4 linked regions of the Arabidopsis thaliana genome follow. The main gene of each other region encodes a partner of the protein of the gene in region 4 in a complex. Each region holds a gene or a part of one and is shown on either strand. Other genes may lie near its edges.

What was found.
Region 1: MED9 (region 4) and NRB4 share a complex: the UniProt entries of both Arabidopsis thaliana proteins name them as parts of the mediator complex.
Region 2: MED9 (region 4) and AT1G15770 share a complex: the UniProt entries of both Arabidopsis thaliana proteins name them as parts of the mediator complex.
Region 3: MED9 (region 4) and MED21 share a complex: the UniProt entries of both Arabidopsis thaliana proteins name them as parts of the mediator complex.

The regions. Positions count from the first base shown.
Region 1 is NC_003070.9:5,430,615-5,438,414, reverse strand, and holds the start of NRB4 (mediator of RNA polymerase II transcription subunit 15a-like protein), read left to right. Parts: upstream 1-1,796; 5' UTR 1,797-2,061; intron 2,062-2,062; exon of another isoform or gene 2,063-2,201; coding exon of another isoform or gene 2,202-2,259; intron 2,260-2,485; coding exon of another isoform or gene 2,486-2,493; coding exon 2,494-2,606; intron 2,607-2,730; coding exon 2,731-2,842; intron 2,843-3,018; coding exon 3,019-3,136; intron 3,137-3,236; coding exon 3,237-4,622; intron 4,623-4,721; coding exon 4,722-4,792; intron 4,793-4,914; coding exon 4,915-4,989; intron 4,990-5,317; coding exon 5,318-6,601; intron 6,602-6,713; coding exon 6,714-7,058; intron 7,059-7,202; coding exon 7,203-7,409; intron 7,410-7,503; coding exon 7,504-7,800. UniProt on the Arabidopsis thaliana protein: Component of the Mediator complex, a coactivator involved in the regulated transcription of nearly all RNA polymerase II-dependent genes.
Region 2 is NC_003070.9:5,426,194-5,430,203, reverse strand, and holds AT1G15770 (mediator of RNA polymerase II transcription subunit), read left to right. Parts: upstream 1-1,923; 5' UTR 1,924-1,988; coding exon 1,989-2,075; intron 2,076-2,398; coding exon 2,399-2,908; intron 2,909-3,027; coding exon 3,028-3,312; 3' UTR 3,313-3,496; downstream 3,497-4,010. Other genes in the region: AT1G15772 (mediator of RNA polymerase II transcription subunit), read left to right, coding at 972-1,019, 1,112-1,186, 1,270-1,503; AT1G15760 (Sterile alpha motif (SAM) domain-containing protein), read right to left, coding at 3,882-4,010. UniProt on the Arabidopsis thaliana protein: Component of the Mediator complex, a coactivator involved in the regulated transcription of nearly all RNA polymerase II-dependent genes.
Region 3 is NC_003075.7:2,430,336-2,434,136, forward strand, and holds MED21 (mediator 21), read left to right. Parts: upstream 1-1,916; 5' UTR 1,917-2,027; intron 2,028-2,309; 5' UTR 2,310-2,329; coding exon 2,330-2,620; intron 2,621-2,704; coding exon 2,705-2,756; intron 2,757-2,985; coding exon 2,986-3,062; 3' UTR 3,063-3,300; downstream 3,301-3,801. Other genes in the region: AT4G04775 (zinc ion binding protein), read left to right, coding at 785-949, 1,020-1,337. UniProt on the Arabidopsis thaliana protein: Component of the Mediator complex, a coactivator involved in the regulated transcription of nearly all RNA polymerase II-dependent genes.
Region 4 is NC_003070.9:20,552,356-20,555,920, reverse strand, and holds MED9 (mediator of RNA polymerase II transcription subunit-like protein), read left to right. Parts: upstream 1-1,666; 5' UTR 1,667-1,746; coding exon 1,747-2,220; intron 2,221-2,289; coding exon 2,290-2,352; intron 2,353-2,437; coding exon 2,438-2,518; coding exon of another isoform or gene 2,519-2,597; coding exon 2,598-2,656; intron 2,657-2,742; coding exon 2,743-2,800; 3' UTR 2,801-3,016; downstream 3,017-3,565. Other genes in the region: AT1G55090 (carbon-nitrogen hydrolase family protein), read right to left, coding at 99-322, 404-709, 871-1,064; AT1G55070 (F-box and associated interaction domains-containing protein), read right to left, coding at 3,288-3,565. UniProt on the Arabidopsis thaliana protein: Component of the Mediator complex, a coactivator involved in the regulated transcription of nearly all RNA polymerase II-dependent genes.

The sequences.
Region 1 (7,800 bases), about 15 Mb from region 4:
TAAATATGTCTAATGTATCTATTGGTTTGACTTATCAAACACCATTTCTCGTTTCTCCAGAATCAACAAGGAAAAAAAAGACATTGTTTGGTGAAAAGTAAAAAAACAAACTAGTTGTTTTCTCGTTTCGAAAACTTAAAACTATGTTTCACTGGACTGAAATATTGAGCAGTTGATACGCACCAACTCTTTCAAACATTGGCGGCTAAAGATATTGCAGAAAACATCAACATATTACACATTTACACATAGACAACCTCTGTCATAAGAAAAGTTTCTCTTTTGACTTATAGGACATGTACACTTGACAAGTTAGGTGAGTTTGATTGTTTCTTAGGTAATGATACTGAAATTTACATTTGTTAAATATGTATAAAACCTTCAACCGGTTTTGTGTTTTGTTTGATGAATATTATGTGATGATTATTCTAAAATCCCCTATAATAAAAAAGTTATAAAAAAAAAAAAATTTTTAGTCTGATTATATTTATATCATAGTTCATTAACAAAACAGTTAAAATAATTGAATTAAGAAAGGACACAAATGTATTTCAAAATTAATTGAAAATCGTCTTTATTTGCTTTTATTTTTAAAATCAGATTATTAAGGATTTTATTCCTTAACTATCTACATATACATTTTTGCAGTCATTTTAGCAAATAAATCTTAGAGTTGGACTTATTTACAACCCAATGCCATTAACATTAAATATTTTCCAAAATAATTAATTTTACTTTAAATTTTTAATTTAAATTGTCAATCACATTATCAATCAAATTTAATCCAAACAAACTTCACATCAATCCCTTAAAATTAGCATAAACGTATTTTATTAACTATATTTTAAAACAATGTTTTTTGTTTAAATAAATATTATTCTTACTAAACGTTTTTTGTTTAAATAAACAAATCATGTATTTGAACTTATTTACAATGTCATACTACTGACATTAATTATTTAGGCATGAAAATATTTATTTAAGGATTTAAATCTTCTAAATTCTTGCTTTTAGAGTTATTATATCATTACCTAAAAGGCAAAAAATATTAATTTTTTAAATATTATTATTTGTATATTTAAACTTCATAAAACATTATCAATATTTGAATTTATAAAAAGTTTAATTTATCAAAAAAATTAACATCATTATATAATATATAGAGTTTTAAAAAATCTCAAAAAAAAATTCGTCATATTTTGTGATTCGAAATTTTAAGAATGAACATATATTAACCAATTGGCGAAAAATGTGTGGGTTCAATGTCACGCAACGACTAAAATATTTTGACAATGATTCATAAACATATTATAAATAAGATCAACATTAATAAAATAAATAGTTTTTTTTTTGGACGGGTTTGGCAGGACATGTTTGGTAGGACGGATTTGGCAGGACGTTACTTAGTAACAATGGTAAACTATAAAATAATTTACAAATTTTATATATATTAATTTTTAAAAATGAATTGTCTCCGCGGTGTATCGCGGGTTAAAATCTAGTAAGGTTTATTTTTCCAACCTATAAAATTATTAATAAAAAATGCTGTTTTGTTAAAAAAAACGTAAACAACATATGTGACTTAATGTACTTTTATTATATCTAATTTTATTATCACTTTATAATCACTTTTCTAAAACGTTTTCTAAAATGAAACGAAAAATATATAATTTATTTAAAATTGAAAAATAGTGGTCATATTATCTAGTTAACAAATTTCTAATACATTTTGCACCAATGCTACCATATTTGAACTGGGAAAACTATACAATTATACATGTGGTAATTAATACTAGATTTTTTTGTTTATTTTGAAAAAAAAAAAAACTTGTTATAAGCGAACTGGTAGGCTCGATTATGATTTACGACGCGAACAAGTTTCCTCTGTCTCTTTACCTAGAAGATCCTATATTCTTCATTCGTTTTTCGATCAAGCTAAACCCTAAATCCAGCTCCAATTTCCCCTTTTTCTCCTCTGTTTTCCTAATATCAAGCCCTAATCGTTGTACCAACCTTGACTCCGTCAAACGCCAAATCTCCTTGATTGGCTCTGAATTTGAGGTGAAATGTTCGAATCTCGTTTTTTTTTCTGTTGTTCTTAAGCCTTGCTTTTTAGAGTTTTCTCTTTTGATCGGGATTCCAAAGAAGATAAAGTATCTCCCTTTGTAGTTGGGTCTGGTTTATTACAATTACGAGAATAGATGAACTTTGTTGATGTAATAAAGTTTGCTTATTTTGAGTTCCTGGATTCTCGTTCCGGTGGGATTGGCTATTTGATGTTTTGAGTTTATTGCTTTTTGCTACCAACATTAGAAAGAATGAACATTTTGGCTGATCAATAAGAAATTCTGAGTGTTAATCTAATCCATGTTGTGTGGTCATTTGTTTCCTGTTGATTTGGGATAATCAGTTGTTATATTGTCATGTTTTGGTTTCTCTGTATACTTACTATTGATACTTTGCTCTTCATGGCTTGTAAACACAGAAAACTTGATGGATAATAACAATTGGAGGCCTTCTCTTCCAAACGGAGAGCCTGCCATGGATACAGGTGACTGGAGAACGCAATTGCCACCTGATTCTCGTCAGAAGATCGTCAACAAGATGTAAGTCACTCTAGCGGCGTTGTTTTGTCTATGCCAGTCAAATACTACAGAAATAGAAGGTTATTATGTTCCTTGACCAATAGTTAGTTTGTTTGTTTTACTTATTTGCTTGCCACTTGCGCAGAATGGAAACACTAAAGAAGCACCTTCCATTTTCCGGACCAGAGGGAATTAACGAGCTCAGGAGAATTGCAGCTAGATTCGAGGAGAAAATTTTCAGCGGTGCTCTTAACCAGGTTATTATGAACATATATTCTTGTTTCGTTAGTATGGTAAATATAGAGATTTGTGAGGCAATGGACTCCACAACATGGAAAAGAACTGACTTTCGGTATCTGTAAAGCTAAGCCACAATATGTTGGGTATGAAATCCATGTATACCTTCCTGATACTCTTTTATATCGCCTTTCAGACTGATTACCTTCGGAAAATATCAATGAAGATGCTGACAATGGAGACTAAATCACAAAATGCAGCTGGTTCTTCCGCAGCTATCCCTGCCGCTAATAATGGCACATCCATAGATTCGAGTAATCACGATTCTCAAGCATGAATTGCTTAAGTCTGTTTATCTGGTTTTATGGCTAATTGTTCCTCTTATTTGATGCTGTTTAACCTTTCCTTGAATAGTACCCACCAATCAAGGCCAACTTCTTCCAGGATCGTTATCAACCAATCAATCTCAAGCACCTCAGCCGTTGCTGTCCCAAACCATGCAGAATAATACTGCCTCTGGAATGACGGGTTCTACTGCTTTACCATCTTCCATGCCACCTGTTTCTTCCATAACCAATAATAACACCACAAGCGTTGTGAACCAGAATGCCAATATGCAAAATGTAGCTGGAATGTTGCAAGATTCATCTGGGCAGCATGGCCTTTCCTCGAACATGTTTTCAGGACCCCAAAGGCAGATGCTGGGTAGGCCACATGCTATGTCTTCACAGCAACAACAGCAGCCATATCTTTACCAGCAGCAGCTACAGCAGCAACTTCTCAAGCAGAACTTCCAGTCAGGGAATGTTCCCAATCCCAATTCGCTTTTGCCATCACACATTCAACAACAGCAGCAAAATGTGCTGCAGCCTAATCAACTGCATTCATCTCAACAACCTGGTGTTCCAACATCTGCGACTCAGCCCTCCACTGTGAACTCAGCTCCTCTCCAAGGTCTCCACACCAATCAGCAATCAAGTCCGCAATTGTCTTCTCAGCAGACGACACAATCTATGCTTCGTCAGCATCAATCGTCGATGCTAAGGCAACATCCGCAATCACAACAAGCCTCTGGTATCCATCAGCAGCAATCTTCATTGCCGCAACAATCAATTTCTCCTCTACAGCAGCAGCCTACACAATTAATGCGGCAACAAGCTGCAAATAGCTCAGGCATCCAACAGAAGCAGATGATGGGGCAGCATGTTGTTGGGGATATGCAGCAGCAACATCAGCAAAGGTTACTGAACCAACAAAATAATGTTATGAACATACAACAGCAGCAGTCGCAGCAGCAACCACTGCAGCAGCCACAGCAACAGCAGAAACAGCAGCCACCGGCCCAGCAGCAGTTGATGTCTCAACAAAACAGCCTCCAGGCAACGCATCAGAACCCACTGGGCACTCAAAGCAATGTTGCAGGATTGCAGCAACCACAACAACAGATGCTCAATTCCCAGGTTGGCAATTCGAGTTTGCAGAATAACCAGCACTCGGTGCACATGTTATCACAACCAACGGTTGGGCTGCAACGAACACATCAGGCTGGCCATGGCTTGTATTCTTCTCAGGGACAACAGTCACAAAATCAGCCATCACAACAGCAGATGATGCCACAGCTTCAATCGCATCATCAGCAGCTGGGTTTGCAACAACAACCTAATCTGCTACAACAGGATGTGCAACAAAGGCTACAAGCTTCAGGCCAAGTCACTGGTTCCCTGCTTCCACCTCAAAATGTTGTGGACCAACAGAGACAACTATATCAATCCCAAAGAACCCTTCCGGAGATGCCATCATGTATGCTTTTGATCCTTTTAATACTTTAGGTTCTGATATTTTCCATAATCTCTCAGCAGGATATGATGCTGAACATATTTTCGTTTTTATAATTCTTAGCATCGCTGGATTCGACAGCACAGACGGAAAGTGCAAATGGAGGTGATTGGCAAGAGGAGGTTTACCAAAAGGTAGTTCTCTCTTTTTGTGTTTGCTATATATCTTTACCAATTATGGCTACACTTATTAAATCTTCAAGTGATAGATATCATTGTAATGAGTAATCATATGACCATATTGCTTGTCTTTGTAGATCAAATCTATGAAAGAGACTTACTTACCAGATCTGAATGAAATCTACCAGAGAGTTGCAGCAAAGTTGCAGCAAGTAAGTTACAATTTTCTTTTCTTTTTTATACTAGGAGAATCGTTTGTACGTCTATGTCCTCTGGAACAGTAGTGAGTACCTTCTGAGAAGCTTTATGAATTCAATGCAAGTTCGGTTCGTTATTGCATAAGAACGTCATCAACTTTGGAGTCTTGTTACCCATTTAACAAAGAAAAAGAAAAAGAATCTTGAGACTCGTATTCTTACAGTTTACTAGAAAATCAACCTGCTGATATTTATGTTCCTTCCCAAACCTACAGAAGTTGTAGCTTGCATCTATGTATTTGTTTCTTTTTTATTTAGTAAGTTATTTTTGTATCTGGAGCAGGATTCTATGCCACAGCAACAAAGATCAGATCAGCTTGAGAAACTGAGACAATTCAAAACAATGTTGGAGCGAATGATACAATTTCTATCTGTTTCAAAGAGCAACATCATGCCCGCATTAAAAGATAAGGTGGCTTATTATGAGAAGCAGATTATAGGTTTCTTAAATATGCACAGGCCGAGGAAGCCAGTACAGCAAGGGCAGCTTCCGCAATCTCAGATGCAGCCTATGCAGCAACCACAATCTCAGACAGTTCAAGATCAATCCCATGATAACCAAACAAATCCGCAGATGCAATCAATGAGCATGCAGGGTGCTGGGCCAAGGGCACAACAGAGTAGTATGACAAATATGCAGAGCAATGTTCTATCATCTCGTCCTGGAGTTTCAGCTCCACAGCAGAACATTCCCAGTTCCATACCGGCTTCTAGTTTAGAATCAGGCCAAGGAAATACCTTGAACAATGGACAGCAGGTTGCCATGGGATCTATGCAACAAAATACTTCTCAACTAGTAAATAACAGTTCTGCCTCTGCTCAAAGTGGGTTGAGCACACTGCAGTCGAATGTGAATCAACCCCAGTTAAGTTCCAGTTTGCTTCAGCATCAGCACCTCAAGCAACAGCAAGATCAACAAATGCAGCTCAAACAGCAATTTCAACAGCGCCAGATGCAACAGCAACAGTTGCAAGCAAGACAGCAACAGCAACAGCAACAGTTGCAAGCAAGACAGCAAGCGGCACAATTACAGCAGATGAATGATATGAATGATTTAACATCGAGGCAGGGGATGAATGTCAGTCGTGGGATGTTTCAGCAACATTCTATGCAGGGTCAGCGTGCGAATTATCCTCTTCAACAGTTAAAACCAGGAGCTGTTTCGTCGCCTCAACTTCTGCAAGGTGCATCTCCTCAGATGTCACAACATTTGTCTCCTCAGGTTGACCAGAAAAATACTGTCAACAAGATGGGAACTCCATTGCAACCTGCAAATTCCCCTTTTGTTGTCCCATCTCCTTCTTCAACCCCCTTGGCTCCGTCCCCTATGCAAGTTGACTCTGAGAAACCTGGTTCTTCTTCGTTGTCAATGGGAAATATTGCACGCCAACAAGCAACCGGCATGCAAGGTGTAGTTCAGTCCCTAGCAATTGGCACTCCAGGGATCTCTGCCTCTCCTCTCCTTCAGGAGTTTACTAGTCCTGATGGGAATATTTTAAATTCTTCGACAATTACATCTGGAAAACCGAGTGCTACTGAGCTGCCTATTGAACGCCTTATTAGAGCCGTAAGTAAATTTCCAATTTTTAAGGGTATATCGCAGCAGGACGGTGATATTGCTGCAAACCCGTTTTGTAATATAATCATTGTTCTGCTTATGATGTATGCTTTGCTTTCAGGTGAAGTCCATCTCACCACAAGCCCTTTCTTCTGCAGTAAGTGACATCGGATCTGTTGTAAGCATGGTTGATCGGATAGCTGGTTCAGCACCAGGAAACGGTTCAAGAGCTTCCGTTGGTGAAGACTTGGTTGCAATGACTAAGTGCCGTCTCCAAGCAAGAAACTTCATGACCCAAGAGGGAATGATGGCGACTAAGAAAATGAAGCGTCACACAACCGCAATGCCACTAAGCGTTGCTTCACTGGGAGGAAGTGTTGGTGATAACTACAAGCAGTTTGCTGGTTCAGAAACATCCGATCTAGAATCTACTGCGACTTCGGATGGCAAGAAGGCAAGAACTGAGGTATGATACTCAGTTAGACTTCCCCTAGCTATATTTGAATATTGACACACACTCACACACACACACACACACGTAACAAAGAAAATTTGGAAGCACAAGGTTTCGATATTCTTTTTTTTTTGAAGACTCAATCTTGAACTGCAGACCGAGCATGCCCTTTTGGAGGAAATAAAGGAAATAAACCAGCGGCTGATAGATACAGTTGTTGAGATAAGTGATGATGAAGATGCTGCTGATCCTAGTGAGGTTGCAATATCAAGCATAGGGTGTGAAGGAACAACAGTTAGATTCTCGTTTATAGCTGTTTCTCTCAGCCCAGCCTTGAAGGCTCATCTCTCATCAACACAAATGGTAAACATGGTCATCTCGTTAACATTAACGTTTTGTGAAACAAAATATTTCATTTATCCTTTTTTATAATATATGCTTTGTGCTTCTATTACAGTCTCCTATTCAACCATTGCGTCTGCTGGTTCCTTGTAGCTACCCCAATGGCTCTCCATCTCTTCTAGATAAACTCCCGGTCGAAACCAGGTACAAGCAAATCCTTCAGTCTCAAGTAAATAGAACCATAGATTTTCCGTACCGAGTCGAGCAAACTTCTACGATACAGTTAAAATCTTCACAAGAATCATCTACTAGAAACCCTTTATTAGAAACTGCGTTATCTTCTTACCGTAACACGGTCTGGTTTCTTGAACAGCAAAGAAAACGAGGACCTGTCGTCCAAAGCTATGGCAAG
Region 2 (4,010 bases), about 15 Mb from region 4:
GTATATTCGTCATTTTCTTCTAATTCTGAAGTGCAATTACCCCTTTTTTGGGGTCTTGCTGAATGTTGTATTTTGAGATTTGTTGTAATACGCATTTTGAGATCGTTCAGAAGAGTTTCAACTTCTTTACTCTGTTCAGTTGTCACAATAAAATGGCTGTTTGAAACATTTTTTTTTTTTTGTATATACCAAATGGCTAACTTTTTTATTGTAATTATTGATGATTTATCATCATAAAGTCATCAAGTTAGAAGATACAAGGAGTGATCAGTGTGGTGTGTAATTGTCTATACAAATTAGTACATGAACGAGATTTATTTAGTTAATGACTATAATTAACATTTTGGTCACACAAATAGCCGGAGATTTCACTGGTTTTTCTACAAGTCTCTTTACTCGATTTTTAGCCTTTACTGTGTGAAATAGAAAACTTAAAAAAACTCCAAAAAACTTATTATTTGCAGAAGAGACTTGGGCCTGATAAGTACTTATTATTGGGTCATTGGGCCTCGCTTAATAACCTGATATTGTAATGTTGTTGAAGCCTTTTAATCCTTGTATTTAGCTCTCTCTTGTTTGTTTCTCTATAAAATCAAAAGATGATTAAAACAAAAACAATCATCTCTAATTCTTCTCCTTAACCCTAATTGCTACGTTTCACTTATTAAAAGAAAGATTGAAACGTAAGAACGTTTGGAGAAAAACCAAATCCAAACGGACCGTTCTAAGTCTCGGAGATTCATCGCCAAAAGGTCCTTATTTTGAGTCACCTATCTCATTACGTGTCATAGTAAACCCATGGATTCGTCGATAGCAAAACCTTTTGCATAAGAAACTAGTTTTATGGATTGATGATACTTGTGTACCTCTAATTTTAGGTTTTTGTATTTTTTTTTACACAGTTTCTGATGATGAATGAATCTCGCTTTTTAATTATTTTTCTTGGCTAGCAACACTAGATAGTAGATACAATGGAAAATGAAAATGGAGATGATTGGCGGGAGGAGGTTTTCCAAAAGGTAACTCATAAGTCATAATCATCATAATAATAAAACTCCTTTCTTAAATCATCATCGGGATCATTCATTGTGGTGTGTAATTGTTTATACAGCTTAGATCCATGAGAGAGCGTTATCTACCACATGTGACTGATGTTTACCAGAGACTTGCAGACAAGTTGAACCATGTAAGATGTAGTTACTGTCAACTATTAACTCTCTGCCTTAAGTTGTATAGATGTAGTAATACTAGTTTGTTTGTTTTTTTCAGGAGGAATCGCTTCCGCAGCAACAAAGATCAAAGCACTTTGACAAGTTCCAAAGCATGAAGACAAACATAGAGCAATTGATCCAAGTCCTATCTCTTCGAAAGAGAAATATCATGCCGATATTAAAGGATTGTAGATGGGACTATTATGAGAAACGGATTATATATTTCTTAATTACGCTAAGAACCGGCTGGGAAGACAGTACAGCAAAGGCAGCTTCAAGATCAGTCTCATAATAATCAAGGAAATGCATTGTAGATATTTTGTCTCTCTCTCTTTTTATGTTGGTCTTCTCTCTTCTGATGTGTTTTGAACTCTCATCCTCAATGTTGTTGACTCCGGTGCTCTGTTTCTACCAGGCTCCTCCTATCAAGTTATGATCGAAAAATGAATAAAGACCCTTTTTTTTTTTGTAAATGTTAATTTCTCGGAGATTAGGTGTGTTTTTGGTGGGTGCTTTAGTGTTCCGTCAACTAGTAGGGTAGGGTTTGGTTTCTTATTGAATTCATGCAGAATTCTTTTACCCATCAACAGAGATTAAAGCAATTTGAGAGATTGAAGGCAATGTTGGAGCGAAGAATGATACAATTCCTATCTGTTTCAAAGAAGCAATGTCATGCCTTACTTGAAAGATTACTACGACAACCAGATTATTCCTTTGTTACTAGCAGGATCATCTCTCTGTTACTAGATGATATCACCATGATGAGTAATCGTATGTATGATTATATTGCTTTTCTTTGTAGATCAAATCCATCAAAGAGACCTCAATGAAATCTACCAGAGAGTAGCAGCCAAGTTGCAGCAAGTAAGTTACAGTTTTCATTCTTCCTAGGAAGTTAGTTTGCACGTGTACGTCCTCTGGAACAGTACTAAGTACTTTATGAAGAGTTTTACAAATTCAATGCAAGATCAGTTCATTGTTACAAATGAAAGTCCTACAACTTAGGATTCTTGTTACCCATTTAACAAAGTAAAAGGTTCGTCAGACTCTTATACTTACAGATAGTTCACTAGAAGTTAACCTTCTGACAGATATATTCCTTCCCAAACCTACAGAGGTTGTAAACTTTTAACGTTCATCTATATGTTTGTTTCTTTTCTACTGAATACGTTCCGTTTTCTCTCTAGGAGGATTCTCTTTCGCATCAGAAACAAAGATCAGATCAGTTTGAGAAATTGAAACGAGGCAAGACAGTGTTGGAGGGAATGCTACGTTTCCTATCTCTTTCAAAGAGCAATATCAAACCTGACTTGAAGGATAGTATGGATTATCGCAAGAACAACATTATGAATTTCTTAAATATGCAGAGTCTGAGGAAGACAGTACAGAAACTGCAGCTTACGAAATCTGAGATTCAGCCTATGCAGCAACCACTATCTCAGACAGTTCAAGATCAGTCTCATGATGACCAAACAACTCTGCAGATGCAATCAATGAGCATGCAGGGTGCTGGGTCAAGGGTACAACAGATCAGGCAAGGTGTACTTCAATCCCTTGAAATTGGCACTCCAGGGATCTCTGCCTCTCCTCTCCTTCCGGAGCTTACCAGTCCTGATGGAAATATTATAAATCCTTTGACAAGTACTTGTGGAAAATCGAGTGCTACTGAGCTGCCTATTGAACGCCTTATTAGAGCCGTAAGTAACGTTACTAATTTTGAAGGGTATATTGCAACAGGGCAGTGTCATTGCTGCCATCCCTCATTTGCCGTGGAAACATTGTTCTGATCTTGATGTTTGCTTTCTGTTGTTTTCAGATGAAATCCATCTCACCACAAGCGCTTTCGTCTGCAGTATGTGATATTAGATCTGTTGTAAGCATGGTTGATAGGATTGCTGGTTCAGTACCAGGCAAAGGTTCAAGAGCTTCATTTGGTGTGGACTTGGTTGCAATGACTAAGTGCCATCTCCAAGAAAGAAACTTCATGACGCAAGATGGCGACCATGAAAAGGAAGCGTCAGACAACCCCAATGCCATCAAGTGTTGCTTCATTGGGAGGAAAGCGTTGGTAATAGCTACAAGCATTTTGCTGGTTTGGTAACATCAGATATGGAATCTACTGTGACTTGTGGTGGCAAGAAGCCAAGAACTGAGGTATGGTTTTCAGTTACACTTCCCTTAGGTATATCTGAAAATTGACACACACACAACAGATAAAATTTGGAAGCACAATGTTTTGTGTGCTCTAGTGTAGACTGTGTAGTGTCCTGAGCTCAAGATCTTTCCGATTACCTCAAGAGTAAGATCACTCCGGCAGGCTTAGCGTCATGGTTATGTGTGTAAACAGAGCATTTTTTGAGAAAAGAGTAAAAAGTGATAAAAGCTGTAAAGAAGTTTTGACTGGAACAGAGACTTAGGCCAAAAGCAAAGACTGGAGAGACAGACTCATTACAATGACCCCACACACTCACATACACACCTGACACCACCACTCAACTCTATTTTCCAATTGTTAACTAACAAAAATTAACTAGCCTAATCACATACAAAGACAAAATCAAGAAAACATGGTGGAAGAACCCTAAAACCTCATCTCTCACCATCAATTCTGATATAAAGAACGAAGAAGAAGCTGAAAGAGAAAACATAAAACAGAACTTAGAGATTTTTCTAAGTAGGTTTGAGATTCTGAAACATTGAATCCCATTTGATATCTTCAAAATAAGTATCTTGAGCGTAAAGTTTCTCATCCTTGAAACTGTAATCGAAAACCATGGGACTTGAGAAGCTATCGATTCT
Region 3 (3,801 bases), on a different chromosome or scaffold from region 4:
GTTGAAATACATAAGCCAACAGACCAACGGAATATTTTGAGAAACTTAGCTGAAAAAAAGGAAGTAAAACCAAAAACATATATAAGGAAACATTTTAAACCAACGAAATTGAATCAAGAGACAAAATTCAAAAGAAAATAAAAAACTATGGGAAAAATAAGACCTAAACTTCTCCTAAAAAATGTGAACGCCGGAAACACCAATAAGATCGGATAGATTTTACACCGAAGTCAAAACTAATAGTAAATCGACAGAGAGGAAAGCAAGAAGCCGCTGAAACCAGAGACATAAGTACAAACACCATCACACCTCACCCACCAGACCGAGATAGCAAAATGTACTAGGGACAAGGCATAAACCTTGAAGATCTACTAGAGATAATTAAAGCACTAGACACAATCAGTATCGATTCTACTTGGGTTAGCTGATTTTCGAGCCATAAACTATTTCGATTCTCAGCTTTCACCCCCGGACTTTTGGGCCCTTAAATTTCCACCATCAACTTTCATATTCCCAAAATTACATCATCTACTTTCGGATTCATGCTTAAACATACATTTCCAATTGAACCATTCATTTAACCGGGATTAACCACAAATCCGCGTTTACTGTACCGCGATTGCGATTAACCCGACTAATACCCAGACCCGTTAAGAAAACGACGTCGTTTTCATTTCGTTTAACTCATCAAAAAGAGAAAGAAAACGACGTCGTTTTCATTCTTCTTCTTCTGCAAAATCGATTTGGTCGATTAGGGTTCTTCATTCGACAATTTTATAAGAAAATGAGCACCAACAGCTACTACTCATCCGCTTCCAGTTCAGGATTTCGTGTCTGTCCTCCTGGTGTCCCCTCGAAATGTTGGTGTGGAGAAGAGATCATTACATTCACATCGAAAACAAAGGAGAATCCATACCGGAGATTCTACCGTTGTGCGATAGCAATGAAGGTACACATTTCGATTTTGTGATATATTTGATTGATTGAAGGAGTAAATGATTGGAAATTATGTTTTATAGAGAGAAAATGAAGAGCACTTGTTCAAATGGGTTGATGAAGCTCTCTTGGACGAAATTAAGATGGTAAATGAGAAGTGTAAGAGAGTTGTAGAGAATATTAGTGACCTCAGAATGAACGTGATGGCTAATATGGAGCTCCTTAATAAAAACGCTAAGCAGATGGAGGAAGAGCTGATTAAGAAGATGGAGGGTGAACTCTTGACCATGAAGGAGAATGTGGAAGAGCTAGGACATGTTATGGCAAAGTCAGCTTTGAAGACTGTAGGGGTTGCTGTTGTGATTGTTGCATCTATTGTATGGCTTTGGGGAAGAGTGTAGGTGTTGTTGAGGTTTTGGAGTGAAATTGTAGTATTGGATTAGTCTCTGTTATAAAATTGTCGAATGAAGAACCCTAATCGACCAAATCGATTTTGCAGAAGAAGAAGAATGAAAACGACGTCGTTTTCTTTCTCTTTTTGATGAGTTAAACGAAATGAAAACGACGTCGTTTTCTTAACGGGTCTGGGTATTAGTCAGGTTAATCGCAATCGCGGTACAGTAAACGCAGATTTGTGGTTAATCCCGGTTAAATGAATGGTTCAATTGGAAATGTATGTTTAAGCATGAATTCGAAAGTAGATGATGTAATTTTGAGGAATATGAAAGTTGATGGTGAAAATTTAAGGGCCCAAAAGTCCGGGGGTGAAAGCTGAGAATCGAAATAGTTTATGGCTCAAAAATCAGCCACCCAATTCTACTTCAGTGTTTTTTTTTTTAATTAGTTGTCAATTAATTAAAGCAGTAGGTTTAAAGAAACAACAGAAATCGTTCCTTACGAATTCTATGGAATTAGGGCCCAAAAATCCAAAGGAAAGGCCACCTTAAAAGCCCATTTTAAAAATCTTCGAGCCCAAACCCAAAACGCAGAACGAAGTTTATTAAGAACAACAAAACGCCCCAATTCGCAGCGATTATCTGTCGTTGCCACACCCAACAGACTCTGCGTCGCCGGAGAAATCTTGTCGACGGGTAAGTCTCTTCGTTAAAGCTTATGCTTCGTTAAATCGATTAGGTCAATTTTTTCCCTGAGGATTCGCCATTTTGATCCTCTCTGAAATCCAACTGGTTTTAAGTGATTTATGCTTTGGCACTAGTTTTGTTGAGAATCTTGTTTGATAAATTCAGGAATTGACCACCAATTTTGTGCCATTTGAATCTCCTAGATCCTCTCTGAACGTTATATCTTGCTTTTGAGTATATGTTAAAAGTCTAATATGTGATTGATTACTGTAAATTTTATACTTGTTCAAGGTCTTTTAAGGTTTTGGAAGATGGATATAATCTCACAGTTGCAAGAACAAGTGAATACGATTGCTGCTATCACTTTCAATGCTTTTGGGACACTGCAAAGGGATGCACCACCAGTCCAGCTTTCACCTAATTATCCTGAACCACCCGCTACAACTACGGTTACTGATGATGCTACGCCTTTTCCTGAGCAACCTAAGCAGCTCAGTGCTGGCTTAGTTAAGGCTGCTAAACAGTTTGATGCTTTGGTTGCTGCACTTCCTTTGTCAGAAGGTGGTGAAGGTGCTCAGCTCAAAAGAATCGCTGAACTCCAGGTCAAACAAGTCACACCGATATGTCGAGTTCTTGAATCCGATTACTTCTATTTGTCTAACCGCTTTGTCCTGTTTTTTCTTCAGGTGGAAAATGATCTTGTTGGTCAAGAACTCCAAAAGCAACTAGAGGCTGCAGGTAAAAAACGATCTTAGGTTTTCACTTCATTGTTGGTGTGTCTTATCTGTCTGTAACTGGAGCAGATTCATTATGCACTTCAAATTTCAATTTGTATACTTTCTTGTTGATACACGCACTATGGTTAGATGTTATCTTTAGTGGTTCTAGAATTTGGAATTTTTGTTTTCCCTTGCAACTGCCTCTGACGATTGAGCTGATGTTAATGGTGTGACCTTGTTTGTGACAGAGAAGGAGCTAAAGCAAGTACAAGAGCTGTTTGGACAAGCTGCTGACAATTGCCTGAACATGAAGAAACCTGAATGAAATGCTTGTTTACCTTTTGTCGAGCTGATTTAGAAACTATATGATTTGGTTCAGCAACAATTATCTTTTAGGTTCATAAGGAATATCTATTCTAAGTTGGTTCACCAAAAAATTGTTGTAGAAGCAATTACAAGAATGTTAGTTAGCTCACAACAACAGAACCATTATTTTAACCTTACACTTTTTTGACCTGTCTGATTACAATCTCAGAGAATCCACTTTATCATTTTCACAATTACAGGCCATGATTGACACATCATGTTTGATTCTCCGGGCAGTGTTGGTCAAATTACTATGATGGTCAAATTACTATGAACTCTGGTATCTGTCACATTCAATCCAAGTTGCTGAAAAGAAATGACCAGTCCATAAGTTGTGGTCCAAAACCGGATCTTGATTGTGTATTTGTACTCAAGCATGTGAAGATATCCTAACTCATCATCCTTCTTGCGCTCTCTCACAAGACTTGTATAGAGTCCAACAATCTTTTGTCTGCGTGATGAAGCTTTAGGATGAAAAGAAAACTTTAGCCAGTCCGATCAATATTATAAATTAACAATTGTATAAATTTACCAATATATATATTTATATAAATATTATATGTAAAATATTTAGTGAAATATGACTCTACTATTGTTTTTCTTTAATTTTTATTAATTTTTTGTAAAGTTCAATTCTAATACTTTTACTATGTGAAAAAAAAAAATTGTATTTTTTTTTTAAACTTAATAATTGTTTT
Region 4 (3,565 bases):
CTGCACTTGGTTACAAATGAACAAATCTCACTCAAAAAAGTAGATATGATTTACTCAAAAATGATACTTTCAATAATTTTAAGGGTTGTCAAACATACCGTAGTATAAGCGGCTACCATCGCATCCTTGTTGATTACTGTACATATACACCCCACCACGAGCATGAGTAGCCCCCATAAAAGCATTCAGACGAATATCTAGTTTCCTAAGTTGGTGATGACTCCCACTTGCATTCATAAATACTTCAACACCATTCAATGCGAGCTCGGCATGAGGAGGAAGTGGACTAAACAGTTCCTCACAGACTTCAGCTGCAACAGCCCTGATAAGGAAATATAACTGATACAGTTAAGCAGACAAAATCATTGACAGTGTTGAAATGGAAGCATTTATCCAAACTCACGTGTCGATAAACTGGATGTAACCATAACCAAAAGGGACTGATTTCTGCTCCAAAGCCTCTGAAATTTCAATGGGGAGCTGAAATTCCTCTAGCTCTTCTCTCTGCTTCCAAGCTGTGAACCACCGTAGCTCCCTATAGTTTCCATCGTTTGCGAGCCACATTTTCGGTCGAATCATGATGATTCTTCTGTTCATACAGAGAACCTGGCAGTTATAACGCTCTGCTCCTTTAATCACAGGCATTCCTATGCTGCACAAAATATCATCCGTCCAATCACCAAGCAGCAATTCCTTCAAACACTCCCACCTGAAAGAAGATATTCACATGAACATAAGAAGAAACGGTTAAACATGATTCCGATAACTAAATTCAGAAGAAAAAGAAATTAATTCCATCATCTAAAGTGATAGTACCAAGTCATTCATGCCATTCATCATCGAAATAGAAAACTAAAAATAGAAGCTTACGCATGAGTGACAGTGTCGAGTTCCAAGAAGTGATCCTCGCAACCATAGCCAGTGACCTCGAGCTCGGGTCCAAGCCTGATAACAGCACCAGCAGCCTTTGCCTCAGCGATCGAAGCCTTGATGTTCTTCATGTTGCTCTCGAAATCCATGGCCCATTGGTTCAAGTTACACGTAGCAACCTTCAACAGCCTCATCTTCGTCGCCTAAAGAGAAAGACAAGTAAATTTACTGTACATCAAGTAGTGTAAAAAATCTGACTTATCTAAGGCACAAACTTGTTCATGAGAACAGAAGCTGGTTAAATTAGTTAAAGGAACAAACTTTGTATTACTTTGCTAATACTAACAATTCAAATTCAATTTTAACAGCCATAATACACAATATCTGTAACGAAGAACTCGTCAACGCAACACTATTCGATGTGAATCAATTGCCAAAAGAAGAGAAGGAAGAATTGGAGCTTACGTGAATGTGCAAAGAAACCAAGTATCAAAGTCGTGAAATTCGGAGATCGTGAAAATTGAAAACTATGGGAGTTTGTATTTCTTTCAGATGTGAAATTCACAGACTCCAAGTGATTGTGCAGTGCTCGTGCAGAACAGATTGTGACCGACCAAGAAGAACATTCGGTTTGAGAGGAAGAAGAAGAAGAAGAGATTGATACTGAAACGACGGCGTTTTACGATTGTAAATTACAAACAAAACCTTAACTGAGAACAACTTCGTTTTATCATGACACGACATCATTTTTTTTTTTTTTTGGTCAAAACACGACATCGTTTAAGTTCCCACTTTTGTCTCTTCTTCGTTCTTTTAAGTTTTAATAGACGACGACGGCGACGAGAAGGAGAATTAGCGAGATCGGAAGGAGAAAAAATGGATCAATTCTCAGGAGGAGGAGGTAATTGGTCGATGATCCCAAACGTGCAGGCGCAAGGTAACTTCGGTACACCGACGAATCATGACCAGCAACTATTCCTCCAGCAACAACAATTACAACAACAACAACAACAACAACAACAACAACAGTTTCATCTTCAACAACAACAACAGACGCAGCAGCAACAACAACAATTCCAGCCACAACAACAACAAGAGATGCAACAATATCAGCAATTCCAACAACAGCAACACTTCATCCAACAACAGCAATTCCAACAACAACAACGGTTGTTACAATCTCCTCCTCTTCAGCCACAGTCGTTACAATCACCTCCGCCGCAACAGACGATGGTTCACACGCCTCAATCTATGATGCATACACCGCAGCAACAACAACAGTTGGTTCAAACTCCGGTGCAGACTCCTCAACAGCATCAGTCTTTAGCTTCTCATTTCCATCTCTATCCGGTAAGAGAAACAAAGAAAATTGATGAAATTGGAATCGTTGGGGGTTCTAATTTCGTGTTAATGACGCAGATGGTGGAGAAATTAGCTGATGTGATCGAAAATGGAACACGAGATCAGAATTCTGACGCCCTGGTTTGTTAAAAATCAAGTCTTTTAAAGTGGTTTTGAGATTTCTAGGGTTTCTTATTGGATGATGTTGAAATTGTGGGATTTGCAGGTGAATGAATTGAATAGCCATTTCGACAAGTGTCAACAGTTGCTGAATTCGATTTCAGGATCACTAGGATCTAAAACTATGGTAACATTTTGGATCTCTGTATTGGTTCTGTTTAATCTTTTGTTTCTTATGGATCTCTCTCTCTCTCTGTGTTTTATAGACTGTTGATGGCCAAAAGAGAAATGTTGAAGAAAGTGAGCAATTGCTTCAACAGAGAAGGTTAGCTAGATTGTTAGTATCATGTTTTATCTGATCAGATTGTGATCGTGCTCTTACTCTTTTGTTGTTAAATGTCTTCTGGTCAGGGATTTGATTGTGGAGTATAGGAAATCTATTGAAGAGATTGTGACAATGGAGCATTAGTTTCTCATATTTTGATTCAGCAACTGTTTAGCTACTTAAGACCAATAATTGTTATCAATAAACCAATCTTGATTCACATAATAAAGAGAATGTGGTTTTCTTCAAGAAAATTCATTCTTCGGATTACAAATAGATCACAATGCATAATGTGTTTTGTCTGCATCAAACCAAACCAAAATCTTTGTATGTGGGACATGCAACAGAAAGCTCAACCCAAAAACGATATAAGCCCAGGTAGTTGTTGAACATAGTGAGTGGTTTTGTGATTTAGATTCAGAACAGAGTAGAAAAAGCATTGTAGCGACCATGGAAAATTCAACCATTATTCCACAATGATCCTCCAAATATAAAACAAAACACCATTGAAGCCACATCTATTAGTCTTTTAAAAAGAAATAAAAACACCGACTTCTAATCTATCCCTACTCACTATTTTGAAATCATGATAATAGTCTTAAACAGGTAAAAAAAAAACCCAATAAAACACTCACGTAAGCTTCATATTCTCTAGATAGTTTGGAACAGCATGAAACAAAACCCGTTTAGAACCTTGAGATTCTGGAACTTCAACTCTTACTCTTACCACAATGTTCTCCTCGAGATTGTAGTAATAAAGGTAAAAAGGAACTTGTGGATCATAGTGATTTGGGCAGAATACAGCTTCACCTTTACTAGTAACTAAAAAGTTTACATCAATTCCATTGAACTCCGGCCATTGAAGGGGCTTTACGTAGATATGCTTTGACCATTTACGTTCCTGGCCAT